Linked DNA regions of Arabidopsis thaliana. The protein of the gene in region 2 interacts with the protein of the main gene of each other region in a pairwise test. Each region holds a gene or a part of one and is shown on either strand. Other genes may lie near its edges.

Evidence for each region.
Region 1: the proteins of CIPK22 (region 2) and COS1 interact in binary tests that used the Arabidopsis thaliana proteins (3 or more experiments, as listed by UniProt).
Region 3: the proteins of CIPK22 (region 2) and IAA11 interact in binary tests that used the Arabidopsis thaliana proteins (3 or more experiments, as listed by UniProt).
Region 4: the proteins of CIPK22 (region 2) and RAP2.12 interact in binary tests that used the Arabidopsis thaliana proteins (3 or more experiments, as listed by UniProt).

The regions. Positions count from the first base shown.
Region 1 is NC_003071.7:18,222,331-18,226,788, reverse strand, and holds COS1 (6,7-dimethyl-8-ribityllumazine synthase / DMRL synthase / lumazine synthase / riboflavin synthase), read right to left. Parts: upstream 2,577-4,458; 5' UTR 2,486-2,576; coding exon 2,335-2,485; intron 2,248-2,334; coding exon 2,132-2,247; intron 1,996-2,131; coding exon 1,900-1,995; intron 1,824-1,899; coding exon 1,728-1,823; intron 1,585-1,727; coding exon 1,506-1,584; intron 1,266-1,505; coding exon 1,219-1,265; intron 1,121-1,218; coding exon 1,061-1,120; intron 911-1,060; coding exon 872-910; 3' UTR 556-871; downstream 1-555. Other genes in the region: AT2G44040 (Dihydrodipicolinate reductase, bacterial/plant), read left to right, coding at 2,791-2,804, 2,903-3,116, 3,278-3,515, 3,716-3,849, 3,945-4,019, 4,122-4,223, 4,316-4,425. UniProt on the Arabidopsis thaliana protein: Catalyzes the formation of 6,7-dimethyl-8-ribityllumazine by condensation of 5-amino-6-(D-ribitylamino)uracil with 3,4-dihydroxy-2-butanone 4-phosphate. This is the penultimate step in the biosynthesis of riboflavin.
Region 2 is NC_003071.7:16,113,354-16,117,084, forward strand, and holds CIPK22 (CBL-interacting Serine/Threonine-kinase), read right to left. Parts: upstream 1,852-3,731; coding exon 556-1,851; downstream 1-555.
Region 3 is NC_003075.7:14,140,409-14,144,515, reverse strand, and holds IAA11 (indole-3-acetic acid inducible 11), read right to left. Parts: upstream 2,382-4,107; 5' UTR 2,229-2,381; coding exon 1,969-2,228; intron 1,515-1,968; coding exon 1,246-1,514; intron 1,154-1,245; coding exon 1,021-1,153; intron 930-1,020; coding exon 868-929; coding exon of another isoform or gene 839-867; exon of another isoform or gene 778-838; coding exon of another isoform or gene 773-777; coding exon 588-772; 3' UTR 547-587; downstream 1-546. Other genes in the region: AT4G28650 (Leucine-rich repeat transmembrane protein kinase family protein), read left to right, coding at 1-361; ABCB23 (ABC transporter of the mitochondrion 1), read left to right, coding at 3,621-4,107. UniProt on the Arabidopsis thaliana protein: Aux/IAA proteins are short-lived transcriptional factors that function as repressors of early auxin response genes at low auxin concentrations.
Region 4 is NC_003070.9:20,132,998-20,137,534, reverse strand, and holds RAP2.12 (uncharacterized protein), read right to left. Parts: upstream 2,692-4,537; 5' UTR 2,294-2,691; coding exon 1,999-2,293; intron 1,736-1,998; coding exon 954-1,735; 3' UTR 522-953; downstream 1-521. UniProt on the Arabidopsis thaliana protein: Transcription factor involved in the activation of hypoxic gene expression and in ethylene response. Partially redundant with RAP2-2. Acts as a downstream regulator in the ethylene signaling pathway.

The DNA.
Region 1 (4,458 bases), 2.1 Mb from region 2:
GTCAAACAAAGTGTAATCACAGTTTTTAGTAGTTGTAAGAGGCTATAATCACCAAAACAAAGTTTCTCACCAAAGACCATAGAGAACTCGCATCACATTAGATATCATCAACTAGGATCCTAGTGGAATATCCCAAACCAAAGAACATACAATGCATCTCTGTACTAAGAGACAATGATCATATCACGTGAATCAAGAGGATTCGTGGGAAATACAGATCCGAATGTTCGATCTACACATGATAGCACTAGATCAACCTAAATGTCAAACAGATCGGAGAAACAAAAAGCTCGATCTAATTACACCACCTTTTTCCATGTATTCCGATCAAATCATGAAGGATCAACGCAAGAACAACAATGAAGAGAAATAAAACTTAGTGGATTTGATTTTTACCTGGATTGGATGAATGTGAGTCACAGAGACAAAGAGAAGAGAGTGCTCCAAGAGTCACAAAATGATTATAGATTGTGGAATTGGTTGATCCGTTGAACTTTATATTAACTATTATCAATGTGACGCGTAATCTTCGCTCGCCGACAAAATTTTCGTCGTGTAAGATCCTTATTGGCTTTTAAAATTGACATCCATTTCGACACCTCAATTTCAAGATATTACAACAAAGAAGATCACATTTTTGATTAGTACAGAAAGACCCCCAAAATTCGGAGGAATTATTATTATCATACGATTCAAAAAAAAAAAACAAGGCCAGAAGCTTACAAAAGCGTTTAAATGATTTTGTAACCAAGGGTAAAACATTTTGACAATCTTTGAGGTACAAACAATTTCAGAGACTGGATTGTAACCAAATGGGACAACATCAAGAGGTTCTCATACGTGATCATGTTCATCCATCGAACGAGCCGAGCTATTTCAGGTGGTGCTCAAACAACGACGCCATTTCGAGCTGAAAAACAAGAGGAAGAAATATTCAAAGACTTTACCAAAAAGACATAAGAACCCGAATGGTTATAACATGACCAGTTGCTCAATGGAATGATCAGGAATTTCTACATCTTATTCTAACAATAAAGGATTGAATCATAATGATACTTACCGCCGTCAAAGCAGTTTCAGCTCCCTTATTGCCGGCTTTGCCACCAGATCGATTCAGAGCCTAGAGTTTCAGTTAACCACAATATTAACAAATTCAGTGTTCATCCATTATGATGAATAAGCTATATATCATCAACTCTTGCATAACACAACTTAAACCTGATCCATGTCCTCGCAAGTCAGTACACCAAATATGCATGGAACGCCTGCAAATTGGATTTTTTATAAGCTTTAATTACTAGAGTCAATAGTGCGTAAACACAAAATTTGAAGAAGTAATTCATGATGAGGGAATTTAAACATCCAAAATCCAAAGAAAAGCAAAAATGAACTACCCGCTCTTTTAGGTTCGGAAGTATACAAAATCAATCTTTCAGTGTTTCCAAAACAATGTCAAATAAAAATGTCTAAAGATGTATATCCAGCAAATAAGTATCGAGGTAAACCTGAATTTATGCTAGCAGAAAGTACTCCAGACGCAGCAGAGTTGGCAACAGCATCATAATGTGTGGTATCTCCTCTTATCTAAACCACAACAAGGACAACAGTAATATCAAAATCCAACTCTTTAAGTATATGTTATCAACATAAAGCAACTACTTTCTGAAGCCATATGAGGAGAAAAACAAATGGAATAGCCTGAGATTCTTTCAAAACAAGAATCATACCACAGCGCCGATACATAAAACAGCATGAAATTTTCCCGATTTCCCAAGATTTTGTGCAACAACACCAATTTCAAAGCTGCCAGGAACCCAAATAACCTGAATAAAAACAGTGTCATTAGCTTTGTGAAAGCTCATAACTTTTTATTCTGTTCTACAAGCAAAAGACTTTTACTTCAATGTCTTCTTCTCTGACTGAATACTTCTTGAAAGTCTCAATCGCTCCTTCCAAAAGCAACTTAGTCACAACCTCATTGAAACGAGCTACCACCTTGAGAAAGAAAAATGAATCAGAACCAAGTCAACACTGCAATTGAGCTCAAAGTTTTCAAATTTCACTGTAAATCAGAACCAAGTCACTAAATCTAAGCAGCGCACAAAGTAAGAAAGCGATTCTGAGAACTCACGATGGCGAATCTAAGACCTTCGCCTCTGATAAGAGACCCCGTAACATGGCGAACAGCAGCCGTCTGTACGAATGAAGAGCGTAATTCCTTCTCTACAGCTAGTGGTGACGCAAATCCTAACACCAAATGTTAACATCTCAATCACGAAATTGCGAAAAAACGATTTGAGTTATTATAAGAGAAGTGAGAGAAAGCAAGCTTACCGGATGTGGATGAGGAGAATGAGAGATTATTGGATTTGTTCACAGAAGAGCCACCGTGTATATAACAGGCGGAGGAAGATTGACGCGAATTGAGCTGACGGTGTGCCGTCGGTATCAGGCGGAGACACGGCGGCGAAGCTAATGACTTCATTTTTCGTTCGTCGGAGTTTTAGAGACGGTTCTTCGTTCTTCAGGTTAAGAGTGAGACTGTGAGGTCCATTAGCTTATCAAATCGGTTCAAGGCTTCCGGTTTATTATTTTCATTAAAATTACGGTTTCATTGAATCTATTAGTTTGGTTAGAGATTTCCGGTTTGATGAAAAGGGATAAGCTAAACCCTACATCCCCAATCACTCTCACCGGCCGGAAATTTTCAGACAAAAGTGAAAGATTTAAACTTTTGACTCCGTCGTAACAAAGAACAAAACTTCCGTATCCTGGAGAGTAAATTCCTTTATGGCTACGAATGGGTACGTTTCGAAACCTACGAATTTCACGTTTTGATTGACGGAGATGAGCTTTAAACTCTTTAAGAGGATTCTATTGAATTTAAACGATTTGATCACAGGTTAATGGCGTCGTCCAGTGTGTTTCTTCATCGCCCGCGTATCGCATTTGCTTCTAGAACGAATCAGACTGTAGGAAAATACGGTAAAGGCCGTGTTAGTTTCATGGGCATTGGGACACGTCGTCTTCCGGTGGTTTTATCCATGACGGCGATGGCGGATTCCGGTGAGGAGGCCGTGAAATCTGTTTTGCCTGGAAATGGCATATCCATCATGGTAAACCTGATCATCTGATGATTTCTCTTAGACTCAAAGTTGTGAGATTTGACTTTGCATTACCATTTAAGTTTGAAATGTAGAAATGTCAAAGCTTGTTCCTTTTGAAATGGGGATTTTTATGTTGGATTTAGCTATATTCATTATCTCTTATTCTACAGGTGAATGGATGTAGTGGCAAAATGGGGAAAGCTGTAATTAAAGCAGCAGACTCTGCAGGAGTAAATATTGTTCCCATATCGTTTGGATCTGCTGGTGAGGATGGTCAGAGAGTTGAGGTCTGTGGAAAGGAGATTACTGTGCACGGTCCAACTGAAAGAGAAAAGGTTCTTTCTTCGGTGTTTGAGAAGCACCCGGAGCTAATTGTTGTCGACTACACAATTCCCTCTGCAGTAAATGGTAAACTTCAGAATCTCTCATTTCTACCATCAAAAGACAATTGTATTCTAGATTTGTTGAAGTTATGGTTGAATTCTGGTTGGCGGAACGATCCTTGATTGAGTTAGTTTAGAATTTGTGCAAGTGAAAATCATCTGCTAGAAGTGTTTTTTTTGTCTATTGTTTGTTGATTTCAAGTTTGGTATTCTCGCAAAATGTAGATAATGCGGAGCTGTATAGCAAAGTAGGTGTTCCTTTCGTCATGGGAACAACTGGTGGAGATAGGAACAAATTGTATGAAACTGTTGAGGAAGCAAAGATTTATGCTGTGATTTCTCCACAGATGGGTAAACAGGTATGTGTACTTGAATGTTTCTGGAAGAAATGATTACTTATGCATGTAAGTTAAGATCATTTTTGCTCATATTTGTGTGCTTTGTTGGTCTATAGGTTGTAGCATTTCTTGCGGCCATGGAGATCATGGCTGAGCAGTTTCCGGGAGCCTTTTCTGGTTATTCCTTGGATGTACTTTTCTTACTTCTTTTATACATTCAAATTCTTTTTTCTTTCTCTGTTAGTTTTATATTACTTCTTGCTACATCTAATCAACTGCCAATCTATATGTAGGTGATGGAGTCTCATCAAGCTAGCAAATTGGATGCATCCGGAACAGCAAAAGCTGTTATTTCTTGCTTCCAGGAATTGGGTGTGTCTTACGACATGGATCAGGTGCATTGGTCATCCTTTATTGTTTACATCTTGGCAATCACTTAATTTATCCTCGGAATGTGAATTTTCTGTGTATACAACTTTTGTGGCAGATACAATTGATTCGGGATCCAAAACAGCAAGTGGAGATGGTGGGTGTACCTGAGGAGCATATCTCTGGTCACGCTTTCCATCTTTATCACTTGACATCACCCGATGAAACGTAATGCAATATCTAAGATATTGTTTATACTTT
Region 2 (3,731 bases):
GACTTGTACGGTTATATATACCAATCATGTTTTAACGGAATTGCCAAGTGGTAATCAGCAGTGACAACTATTCGTTAATCTGTAACATTCATATATATGTTTTTAATACAAACTCAAATAAACATTCATACATAAAAGATCCTGAAATACTTCGTACGATTGCCAAACAAAATCAACAACGATAAATATTACAAACGGTGTAGCATGTCCCTTAGCGCAAAATAAGGCCCAAGTTTGCAAACACACACGGTCACACATAAAAGGCTACAAAGTTCAAATCAGAGTTTTATTCAAATTCTCTCCGATGAATAAAGCAAATAATTTTTGTGTTTAAATTATACTCCGAAAATAAATAAACAAAAATAATTGAATCCCGGTTTGTTTTTTTCTTTCTTCTTGTCATTTTTATATACAAAGAGGCGGATCGTCCCATTACTCTCCCTGCTCCAATGTAAACCGAACCGGTTAACCACAATGCGTCTCGATCCCGAGTGTAGTACGTTGAAAATTCTAAAAGTAAAACGCACGGATTGTTGGTTTAGTGTTGAAACCGTTTTACGGTTTGTCAGGAACTTTATAAACCGGTTGGTTAATCAAACGACGTAACTTTTGTCTAAGAGCATCGGCCCAAACCAAGCCCACGTCTCTTTGCTTGTTCTTCATCTCCACCATCACTAGTTCATTTGTTAGCCGGCGAACTTTAACGACGACATTAGCTACTCCATGTGGACCTTCAAGCTTTATCGCTCTCTCCTTCTTCTTCGCGATTCTCAAATTTAACTGCTTCGCAACTTCCTCGACCTTCCTCATAATAACGGCCGTACTCTCATCGGATACAAACTGGTCGCAATGATCCGGCGTCACGAAATTTCCAAACAAACCGGAGAGATTCGAGCTCGACGCCGAAGAAATCAAATCGAACGCGTTTAGAATTTTACCGTTTTCTTCCAGATCGTAATCATCGGCTTGGATTCCGATGATTTCGCTTGGATCTACTCCATGATTGAACCACGGATCCTTTAGAATCTCCTCCACGGTGATTCGCAGTTCCGGATTTGGCTCCAAGAGACGGCGGAGGAGTTTCCGCAGATCTGAAGATGTCCAATCCGGTAACTTGTATTGAGCCTTGTGGATTTTCCGGTAGAGTCCCATGATGTTTGGATCACGAAACGGCAAGTAGCCTGCGTTGAGAAGAAACAAAACGACGCCGCATGACCAAATATCAGCTTTAGAACCGTCGTAGCCTTTCTTCAAAAGAAGCTCCGGTGCTACGTAAGCCGGAGTTCCACAGAGCGTATGTAGCATTCCGTCGGGGTGGATCTGCTCCTTCATCGCACTGAGACCGAAGTCTGAAACCTTCAGATCTCGATTCTCGTCGAGGAGGAGATTCTCCGGCTTCAAATCACGGTGGAAAACTCCTCTTGCGTGGCAGTATCTCACGGCGGAGATCAATTGCCGGAAATATTTCCGGCTAAGACTCTCTGTGAAACGGTTGCTGGTGACTCTTGAGAAGAGCTCACCACCTTTGGCTAGCTCCATGACGAAGTAGATCTTCGTCTTTGTGGCGAGGACTTCGGAGAGGAGCACGATATGAGGATGACGGAGGCGGCGCATGACAGATATTTCTCTCTTAACGTGCGCCGTTAAACCGTCTTTCAAACGTTTTTTTTGTACGACTTTGATCGCAACGCTTTCGCCGCCGTTTTGAAGATCCTCCGCTTGGTAGACTTTGGCAAACGCGCCGCTACCGAGGAGCTTACCGAGATCGTACTTACCGAACAAAGCCGACTTATTATCATCTCCGGTGACGTTAACAATGATTGATTCGGAAGAATTAGAGTCTTCGGCCATTAACAAACAAACAAAAAAAACAGAGCAAAAAAACAGAGTAAAGAGAAACAGTCTAGGAATTGTAAAAGACATGCGCGCGGTGCCTCTTCTTATTGAAATTCCTCAACTTGCCACGTAAGTAAGCTATTATTTTAAACAAAGATTTTAAAATAGTTTGACTTTATTATAAAATGCATTAAACAAATAAATGAAAGAAACAATCTTCACAAAAGACAATTTCAAAATGCGATAACATTTTCGATTTTTACTAATTTGAATTAGTTGCGATATATCAACCAGGTTAGAGATAGAGTCATTTTCTCCTGAAATAATTTACGATTCAAGGAATTTTCATGATTCTTTCCCCAATGTGTGGTTCATGTTGTTGTTACCAAACATCTGCCTTGTCAGGTCAACCAAAACCTTCTAATTCCAGGTGGGATTTAAAGTCTTAATTTATTTGTTTTTGTAGGAGCTGGGAAAACTCGACATATTTTTTTTTTTTAAACGTTCATCGTTGACAAAAATAAAAACTTTATCAAAAATAAAAAGAACGTCTATATAAAAATATTTGAATAATGTGAAAGAAAAAAACAACGTGGATTGACGTTACTTTGTATAGAATGCTAAGCAGTATACATGACGATGTTTTAAGCTTCTTTACCGGTTAAGATGGTACTTTAGTTCTGAGGATATGATTTGGTTCTTAAAACATAAGAATATATATTCATCAGGTAGAAGTGTACAACCAAATCAAGACAAGTGAACCGGACCAAATTTTATGTGAACTATATCTCGCAACATTGCATGTGCATGTAAAGATGTTTAGACACGAATGTTATATCGTGGGTACAAATCAACCATCCTTAATTCTGATGAAATTGTTGGTCTTTAACCGCATCCAACCGTAGCAACCCAATCAAACCAAGAACATTATCCAGTCAATAAATAACCTTTAAATTTGAGTGACAAAATAATAACATTTAAATTTGAATGTTGTTTGAAATTCAATGCCACATATAATAATTACTTTTTAATAGCTGGAAATTTTGTTATCTAAGGATTAATGATGGGCAAATTAAGTTTTTCTTATAATTAATTTGAAGTTGGATTCGTGGATCCAAGTCATTCGTGTGTGGATTAAAATCATACTAGTACCCCTTTTGTTGTTGAAAAAGCCAAAAAATTAATCCTTACACGTGAACTTGTTCAAAACATTATCATAAACCTGTAAATTTTTGACCAAAAACAAGAAACCTCTAAAAAAAGAATTAGGAAATATGCAAAAGCAAAAACTCGACAAAGTAAAACGAATAAAGAAAACAACTCTTGCTCATTCATTCATGTGTTCCAATATGTAGGTGTTAGCTTTCGTAACGGTATTTACTATCTATTTGCCTTTTAGTTTATTGACTTTATCTGAATGAAAATTAACACCTAACAGTCGGCAGTAATACCCAACCAAACTTCAAAAGTTATCTCGATTTTATCGTACGGTCACACAGTCATTTAGACTATGACATCCGGGCGTCATTGTGGAGTCATACCCAACCGGAAAAACCAACCATCGAATCATCACATCGAATATAATGCCCAACCGCCAAGTCAACTTATTTATGTGCTATATCGATCCATTTAAAAACATCAATTCTTTTGAAAAACAAATACATCACCATTGCTTTATTATTGAATATTGATCTTCTCATTGTTATCGTCATCAAGAATAAAGACATCTACTTCAAAGAGACACCGTCTTTACCACCGTGATGGTGTACGTCAGCCATCGACATCGTCCGTACACCCACCCTCACTCTTAATTTAAGACGTTTCTTCTTTCTCACGCATCGTCATATATTGTGTGATTTCTTTAAAAATGTTATTAAAAAAACTCTACGAAGCAA
Region 3 (4,107 bases), on a different chromosome or scaffold from region 2:
CGTACTATTGGAGCTGTTAACCGGAAGAAGACCATTGGAACCGGAGTTTGGAGAATCAGTAGACATTGTGGAGTGGGTGAGAAGGAAGATAAGAGACAACATATCACTAGAAGAAGCATTAGATCCTAACGTAGGAAACTGCAGATATGTGCAAGAAGAGATGCTTTTAGTTCTACAGATTGCTCTTCTCTGCACTACAAAGCTCCCGAAAGACAGACCTTCGATGAGAGATGTGATATCGATGCTCGGAGAGGCTAAACCGAGGAGGAAAAGTAATAGTAATGAAGAGAACACTAGTCGTAGCTTGGCCGAGAAACATTCATCGGTTTTTAGTACTTCACCTGTAAATGGCCTTCTTTAGTATGAGATTTAAGAATCAAAAGAGGCCGATAAACTGATTCGTTCGATTCGTGTTCTGTATGTAGAAGAAAGAGAGAAAGAGAGAGAGATATGTATCTTTTGATTTAATTTTTCCATGTAGAATAAGTTTCCTTTGTTTTACATGATCATATTAACTTTGTGCATTGCTCTGAACCGTTTTGTTTTTGTGCAAGAAAGGGTTTTCTTATAGATTTTTAAAGTGTGATTTACAAAGAGAACATATAACTAACTAAAAGAAAAATGGCAGAGCCAAAAAAGAAACTGTAAAGGGGAGAGAAGAAGAAGAAGCTTCTTACAATGTTTTTGTCTTCTCTTTGATCTGTGATCTGTCTTATTACTGCTTCAAACATAAAGGGTTCTTCGTAGATTATTATTTGCTTCATAATATCATCTGAGCTGTAAACAAGGATCACACAAACACGGTCACAACGACAAAACAATGATTTTAATACAGATATCAGGATTTGATCGAATCAGTAAATGTACCTTTACCAGTAGCCTCCGATGTTTTCATTATCCGGAGCCTTCTCACTGAACCAATAAACATCCTAGACACAAGTAAAACTCAGGTTCAAACTTCAGAATTTGACGCTTACACGGGACAAAGCATCAAAAGCATAAGAACATATGTATGCATACCCCCACGGAACATCGCCAACAAGCATCCAATCTCCTTCCTTGTCTTCATACGTTAGTACTAATCCGGAAGACCCATCTGGTAGTATCTTGACCGGTGTTTCCATGTGACCATCGGTTTCTAGTGTGCGTGAACCTGATTAAAGAAAGAATCATAACTTCATTTCCCATACCAAGAACCAACTTCAAAGGAACCAAAAAAAAGGCCATGAGATTCGAAAAGCACACCTAATTTAGGTTTCAGAAACATTTCCTCTAGAGTGTTTGACAATGATTCATAGCATTTATGAGCATTCAGATCGATTTTCCTTCCAATAGGAATGCCATCCATAGTCACCTTAACAAACATGGAATTTCTCATCTTTGTTGAATCACTTCTATTCTTGTTTACGGCTTGACTTATCTCCAAGTTCGGATCTTCAGTGGCTGAAGCCTTAGCTTGGTTAACCATACTGTTCATTCTGTAAGTCCTTATTGGTGGCCATCCCACAACTTGCCTGCCATTTTCAAAGGTTTCAAATTGCTCAAATAAGAGTAAACACATAAAAAGGGTTATAAACACTTCAGGGCCTTGTAAAATCAGATACCAAGAGAATCACTATACAGGATTAATCACTTTCTCTCCAAAGCTAATAAATACTTTAGAATCCAAGAAGAAAAAAACTGTCATCTCTAGAAAACGATAGTAAGATTCAATTTGAAGATATAATGACCAAAGCAAACTATCTAATGATCAGGAAGATACATTCAAAGTCATCTATACGTAACAAAGGTCGAATCTTTTCAGATAACTGTGATCAAGGACATTCTGTCTAATCAATCCCATAACCATAAAAAGCAAAAATCAAATCTTTATTTATAGTTCTATTGATAATCATGATATTAAGAATCCCCAAATAAACCATAATTGATCAAAATGTAAAAGAGGAAAGGGAAGAGAATTTCACTCACCCACTAGTTGCAGCCATGGAATCAGCTGTCCTCTTGATCCCAGCAATTACGCTAGCTCTGCTCAGAGAAGAAGATGATGAAGAAGAAGAAGAATCATCAGCGTAAACCCTACAATCTCGATACCCTTTGCGACCAAGGCTCAACGTAAGACCAAGCTCAAGCTCATTCCCTATAGGAGAAGAAGAATCCTCACAAGAAACGACGAGATTTTCATCGTTTGACAAAGCCGAAGCCGATCCACTAGCGGAACCGCCTTCCATTTTCGACAAAACCAGAAGCTGAGAATTAAGATTTTGATTGTGAGGGAAGGGAGGAAAAAGAGATGGGTTGAATTTGAAGCAAAGATTGAGACTTTAAGTAAGGCAGAAACAGTGAGAAAGAAAAAGGGAAACAAAGGATGAACAAGAAGACACGACGGGTGGGATTTGTCTCTTTTTCACTTCCCTAACTTTTAGTCTTATTTCTCGCCCAATTTTATCATTTTTTTGATCCAATAATAAATTTCTCACATTATTCCGTGACTATATTTACTAGAAACTCTTTTTTTTTCCTTCTTTTAACAATATCCACTTATGTAAGTTTTTAAAATAAAATATGTGGACTTTTGGTATAATTATTTCAATTTTTCGTAAGTTTATATAGGGAAGTTTTACAATTATGCGAAATTCCGTTGTAATATATTTATAAACTTATAATCAATTAACGATAGGATTAGATGCCAAAAAATATAATGGACAACATGATTTTTCAAAATGTATATTATTGTATTAATGTTCAGATTTTTGTAGTTGGTATTTGACTCCAAAATCTGATATAAGATCGGATAGATTTCAAAGAAAATTTGATATCAAAACGGTAGTATCCGTGGTATTAATAAAAACATTTTTAAAAGGCTGGAAAATAAAATAAAAACAAAATTCATACAAATATATATTTTCAAGAAGTGGGGGCTCACATGTCAGCTTCATGGGATTCAATCGGACGGCTAGAAAAAGATTACTTAGAAGGCTTAGTGGGACCCACGTGTACAGAGAGGGGGGACTCGTGCCCACACGTCCTTTGGTCCATCCATCTTTCCAAATCGGACGGTGCTGATTAGTTCCGGTTTAAAGCTATTGATAGTTAGATACCATCACTATATAGGTTTAATTAGTATTTTAAAATCAAGTGGCAATCTAATCTTTAATCACGTAATTAAAATTGAATTTTTAAGGCAATAAAGGAGTTTAGCTGTCCATTTTTAGTGGTGTCCGAATAAAAACCCTGTCGTCTGGAGGGAAGACATAACCGACCGTTGCTTCTTTTCACTTTCCAAATAAACCGTTCAATTTTTTAATTAATTGCATATAGTAGAAGAGTTGAATTTTCGAAAGAGTCCATGTGAGAGAATGAATACTCTGAGATTCGCTGCGGTGTGTACCACCGTATCTGATTCTCTCAAGCCCAGTTGCAATCAAACCAGTACCGGTTATCTCCGAGATAGCTAATTTCATTATCTTAATAAAAACAGAAAACCAAAACCGGTTATTTCCGAGTTGATATCTTCTTCCTCGTCTTCTTGTTAAGCTACTCTGTAGTACAGAGAGAACAAAACAGAGAATTAAAGAATCGATTTAGACCAAATTGTATGTGATTCGTTCGGACAAGAAGCGATGATGAGGGGATCTCGGTTTCTCCTCTCTCGCGCTTCTCTGTATCACCGTCTTCGCTCTGATCATCACCATCACAGTTTCTCCAGTTTTATCAAACGTAGCTCAATTCAGAGATCACCAGCTATCAATGCATTCTTCACCGATCCATCTCCATCTCCATCTCCAGTCAACGCACGAGTCTTCTTCTTCTCAACTTCAACTTCAACTCCAAATCAAGATCAAACCAAAACAGCATCATCTAAGAAGATCCTCCGCACGATTTCAAGCTATCTATGGATGAAAGACAACCCAGAACTCCGATTCAGAGTCATCGCTGCTTTAGCGTGTCTCATAGGAGCTAAGTTCTTGAATGTTCAAGTTCCTTTCCTCTTCAAATTATCTATCGATTTACTCTCTTCATATTCATCTTCAACAATCACTGATTCAAATCCTTATCTACTTGCTGCTTTCGCTACTCCTTCTTCCGTTCTCATTGGCTATGGCATTG
Region 4 (4,537 bases), on a different chromosome or scaffold from region 2:
TCACCATAAGATAATTTCATTTCTTCACAATAATAGGAGAAACCAAATGTTATGTCAAACTTGTCATCACACAACTCAAAGCACCTTGACACTTACATTTTGGGCTACATTTTGACAGTAATACGGTAACTAACAACAATTTATATGAAAAATCAGTAGATTAAATTACCAAATACATATAAATATGTTTCAGTAAAAAATAAAGAATGTGTGCTAATGCTTAGATATTTATACAGAGTGAAAATGACCTAAAGAAGCAGAACTGTCCAGAAGAGTTAATTTACTCTCTTTTATTTTCTGTTATCATAAGGAAACGGTCACGAGAAAGACACAAACTCACCAGTTACCACTTGCAAAAAGAGAGTTCAACCTTTAGAGATTCTTCTGTCGTTTAACGTCGTCGTTTCAACGTTTGTTCCCTCTAGATTCATTGTACCACAAAATAACAAAAGTGGCGCACTTCTCTAGGCAATCACTTTGATGATCAGTTGATCACCGCTTTTTTTCTGATCACAAATTTACGAGAACCGGTTTGGTTCAAACTTAGCTTGTGACTTCTTTGTTATGTTCAACAGTTCTCACATACTCTTAGTAGCATACAAAGAAGATTTATTTGATTAAACAGATGAGAGGTTCAAACACATTATGACAAATGTTAAAGGAGTTTTGGGGCATAAAGTAACAAAAACAAAACACAAACGAATTCAAAAGATTCACTAAAACAAAAACTACCACAACCCCTAAAAATAAGCCTCTACTTAACTTCATCACAACTACCCTCAAGATAGAGGCTCATGGCTTCTCGCAATGCAAACAGGAACTCCTGAGAGAGACAGACAGAGACAGCAGAAGAAGATGCAAGTAACAGACATTAGAAAGTTTTGGAGGTTGATAAACGAACGATGCGGGAAACTCACAAACATGCAGCCTTATTTACATGAAACTGGATCTCTTCAGAAGACTCCTCCAATCATGGAATGAATTTCATCAATACTCCATAGGTCCATAGGGTTTGCACCATTGTCCTGAGTCGTTACAGCATCTTCGTTGAGGAAATCCAGTGAAGCGTCCCATTCAGTGTTGTTGTAAGGTGTCTCGAAATCCATAGACTTGAGCTTCTTAGCTGGATTGGCTTCCTCAAAGAACAGAGCTGAGTTGTTGTTGTTGATAACCGCAGAAGAGATGTCGGGAGTTATCGGAGCTTGATCGCTCCAACCAAACTCCGAACAATCGAAAGAATTACTACCCTGGTCAGAGCTGAAATACTGATACCCATTACATCCAGCATCAACGGAGTTTGTCATCCCAAACTGGTTGTTGTTGTTGTTGCTCACTTGGTGTTTCTCCTCCATGAAACACATATTTTCAAAGGAGATGTTCGAGTTCTGAACCAAAGCTGGACTTGGGTTAGGGTTAGGTTTAGCCACTGGTTTCTGAAGATTAGCCTTCACAGAGCGTTTCTGAGAATTAGCCTTCATGTTTTCTTCAGGGAAATTCACCTTAGCTTTAGATCCACGGATTCTCCGCGCTGCAGCATCGTAAGCTCTAGCAGCTTCCTCAGCTGTCTTGAACGTTCCAAGCCAGATTCTAGCACCTTCCCTTGGATCACGTATCTCAGCAGCCCATTTTCCCCAAGGACGTTGCCTAATCCCTCGGTACTGATTCTTCCTCTTCCTATTTGCAGATTTCTCAGCGTCCCCATCCAAGCCAGTAACTTTCTTACCAAAAACTGAACCTAGTAGTGAAACAACAACAAAACAAAAGAGTTCTTCTATAAATAACTCATCAACAATCTCTAATCAAATCTCATCACACAAATCAAGTCTCATCACTCAACCTCATATGCATATAAATATCACACAAATCAAACCTCATGCTTTATACAACAATCAAAATCGTAAGCAGATAAAGGTATCTATGAACAGAGCTAAATAGAATCGAAACTTAATTTCTAACCAATTCAATCGCTCAAACTAAAGTCAATCCCTAAATATTTACCTTCCGCAGCGGCGGAGACGGCGGGTTTTGGAGTCGAAGTGAAAACGAATGGTTTCACATCGGCGAAAACATCACCGACGTCGAAATCATCATCGCAATCGATAGACGAATCATCTTTGAAACCTTGGAAATCAGCTTCGAACTCAGCGTCAAAATCGAAGAAATTCGAACGATTCTTCGAGCTTTTCTTCGATCCTTTCAAATTCTTCTTCAGATCCGGCCAAATAAACTCGCTAGTAACACGGCGAGACCTCGGCGGTGGAATGAAATCGGATATTATAGCTCCTCCACACATGGCGGCGATTCTTGAGGGTGTAAATGTTCGAAAACAGAATCTTAGCGGCGAAAATGGAAACTAATTGATACTTTTGGGGGTTATATCTTTGCTTCTTCTTCTCTCTTCAACGCTTTGCTTTGTTGTTTTCTTCAGAAAGAGATTTTAGAGTAAAATAAAAGATGAAGCGAGTACGATGGTTGTTTACTATTATACCCTTATCTTGATGTACTATTTACGGTACTACCAGACTTTTATATTCATTTACTGTAGATCTATATTGTAAATTAGGATTTTATTAGTTTATTAATAGTTAGTTGCAGTAAATAAGATTAAAAATTTAGTCAGAGTTGTCTGCTGGTAGACAAAAATAGTCTAAACAAATTTTTACCTAACGTCAATTGATTTTTTCATAAAGTCTATTTCCCTTAGATCTAGTATCTATTAATGTGATTAGGCATTAAAAACACAACTAAATACTTTTGCAATGTTGTTTGCATTCAGGAGTAGCCAACGCAGAACAGATATTTAACATTTAAATTTAAATAATATTATAAATGAATTATGAAAATGTTTTAACATAGGCACAAAATAAATGAATTATTGAAAATATAATGAAAAACTATACAACAACTTTTGAATGTAATTTTGATTAGGAGAGAGGACCATTAAGACCTTATGCTGTTATGCATAAGGCTAAAATTGTAAAAGCATAGAAACACATTTATGAATCTGCGTGTGCAGGACACGTACGATATTATTGAAGCTTTTTGAGCAAGTTGATAGGATTTGGTTTTTATGACAAAGCTTTTGTCGTTTCGTGACAAACAAAAAAGTTATTAAAAATAATCCGAAAAATATATTTGTCCTTTTGTTTGATAACTAGCATTCCAAATCAATTACTAGTTTTCTTAAACTCAATTTAAAATTTCCTTGTAATTCTGTTTACTCTTAACTAACTTTATTAGGTCCAAATTATCAGGCATCGTAAATTACGGAATATTCAGTAGGTATGTGTTATGTGTATGTGTACGTGGAAACCATATTTTGTTGTTTTATGGTGAAATATATTTTATGGTTGCAACTTTCTAAATTATGTATAAACAACTATTGGAAATTCAGTTAAAAGAAAATTTTATTTTATAAAATTCAACTTCATACGTGTATAGTTATACTACATATAATATATATATATATATATATATATATATATATTAGTGCAATCATGTACTATATATTTATATATTAAGATCAAATTGTGAACGCAAAGAAAGACAGATGAATAAAATAGGTAGGGTCCAAATCATTTTACAGGATTGAGACAAGTTCCTAAATTAGCTTATCTCAAAGAAACAGATAATGATGTCAATATGTCATTCATGGAGCAATTATTTGTTTCACTATTTTAACTTTTAATAATTGACTATACTCGTTTCGGAACTGTACATTAGTACAATTTCTTTGTGTTTATAGATATAAACCTTATGTTTTGTTTTTCTAACCAAATTTATAAGAAGCAAAACAAATTCCAGTAGTTGATTTTTTGTTCACTAACTGGAATTCTTAAATCTGAACATAACTTCTCATTAATTGGAATCATTGGATGGATACAAAGTGAAATCATTTTACACAAGGCAAGTTGTCTTTTTGGGCCGAATCGCTAAGATAGTGGGCTTCATAGGTCGAGTTATAGGCACTTGCATTTAGTTTAATTGATTGGCCTTTTAATTGGGCCGAGACCACGAACCTGCTTAGTTACTCGTGACAGTGTGACACTATAAAACAATAAATTAGTTGGGGAATTGGGTTGAACAAAGTGATCACTTGACAAGTAAAACAATAATTCCAATTGTTTAAAATACAGTATTTTGGCCTGTACATATTCAACACGTGACTAAATGAGTTGTTCATATCTTCTCAACCAAAGAGTGTCTATGTCCCTGTCACATACATTTAAAATATCTCCCATACATAAAAAAAAAAGAAGCAAATCGAATAATTTATTTATCAGAGAGATTTTCTTCTTTAAAATAATTCTTTATCCAGTTCATATCCATCATGTCACGATCCAATCTGAATATTAAAATGTTCTTCGAATTAATCAGATTTAGTTATGAAATATGAGTCATATCTCATATGACACTTTGTATCATTTAATTATCTCACTAATTAACGTGTGACTACAAGTAATCTTTATTTTTGGTCAACAGCTACAATTAACCTAACTAATTAATGAGCATTTTTACTAAATCAGTAATTAAACCA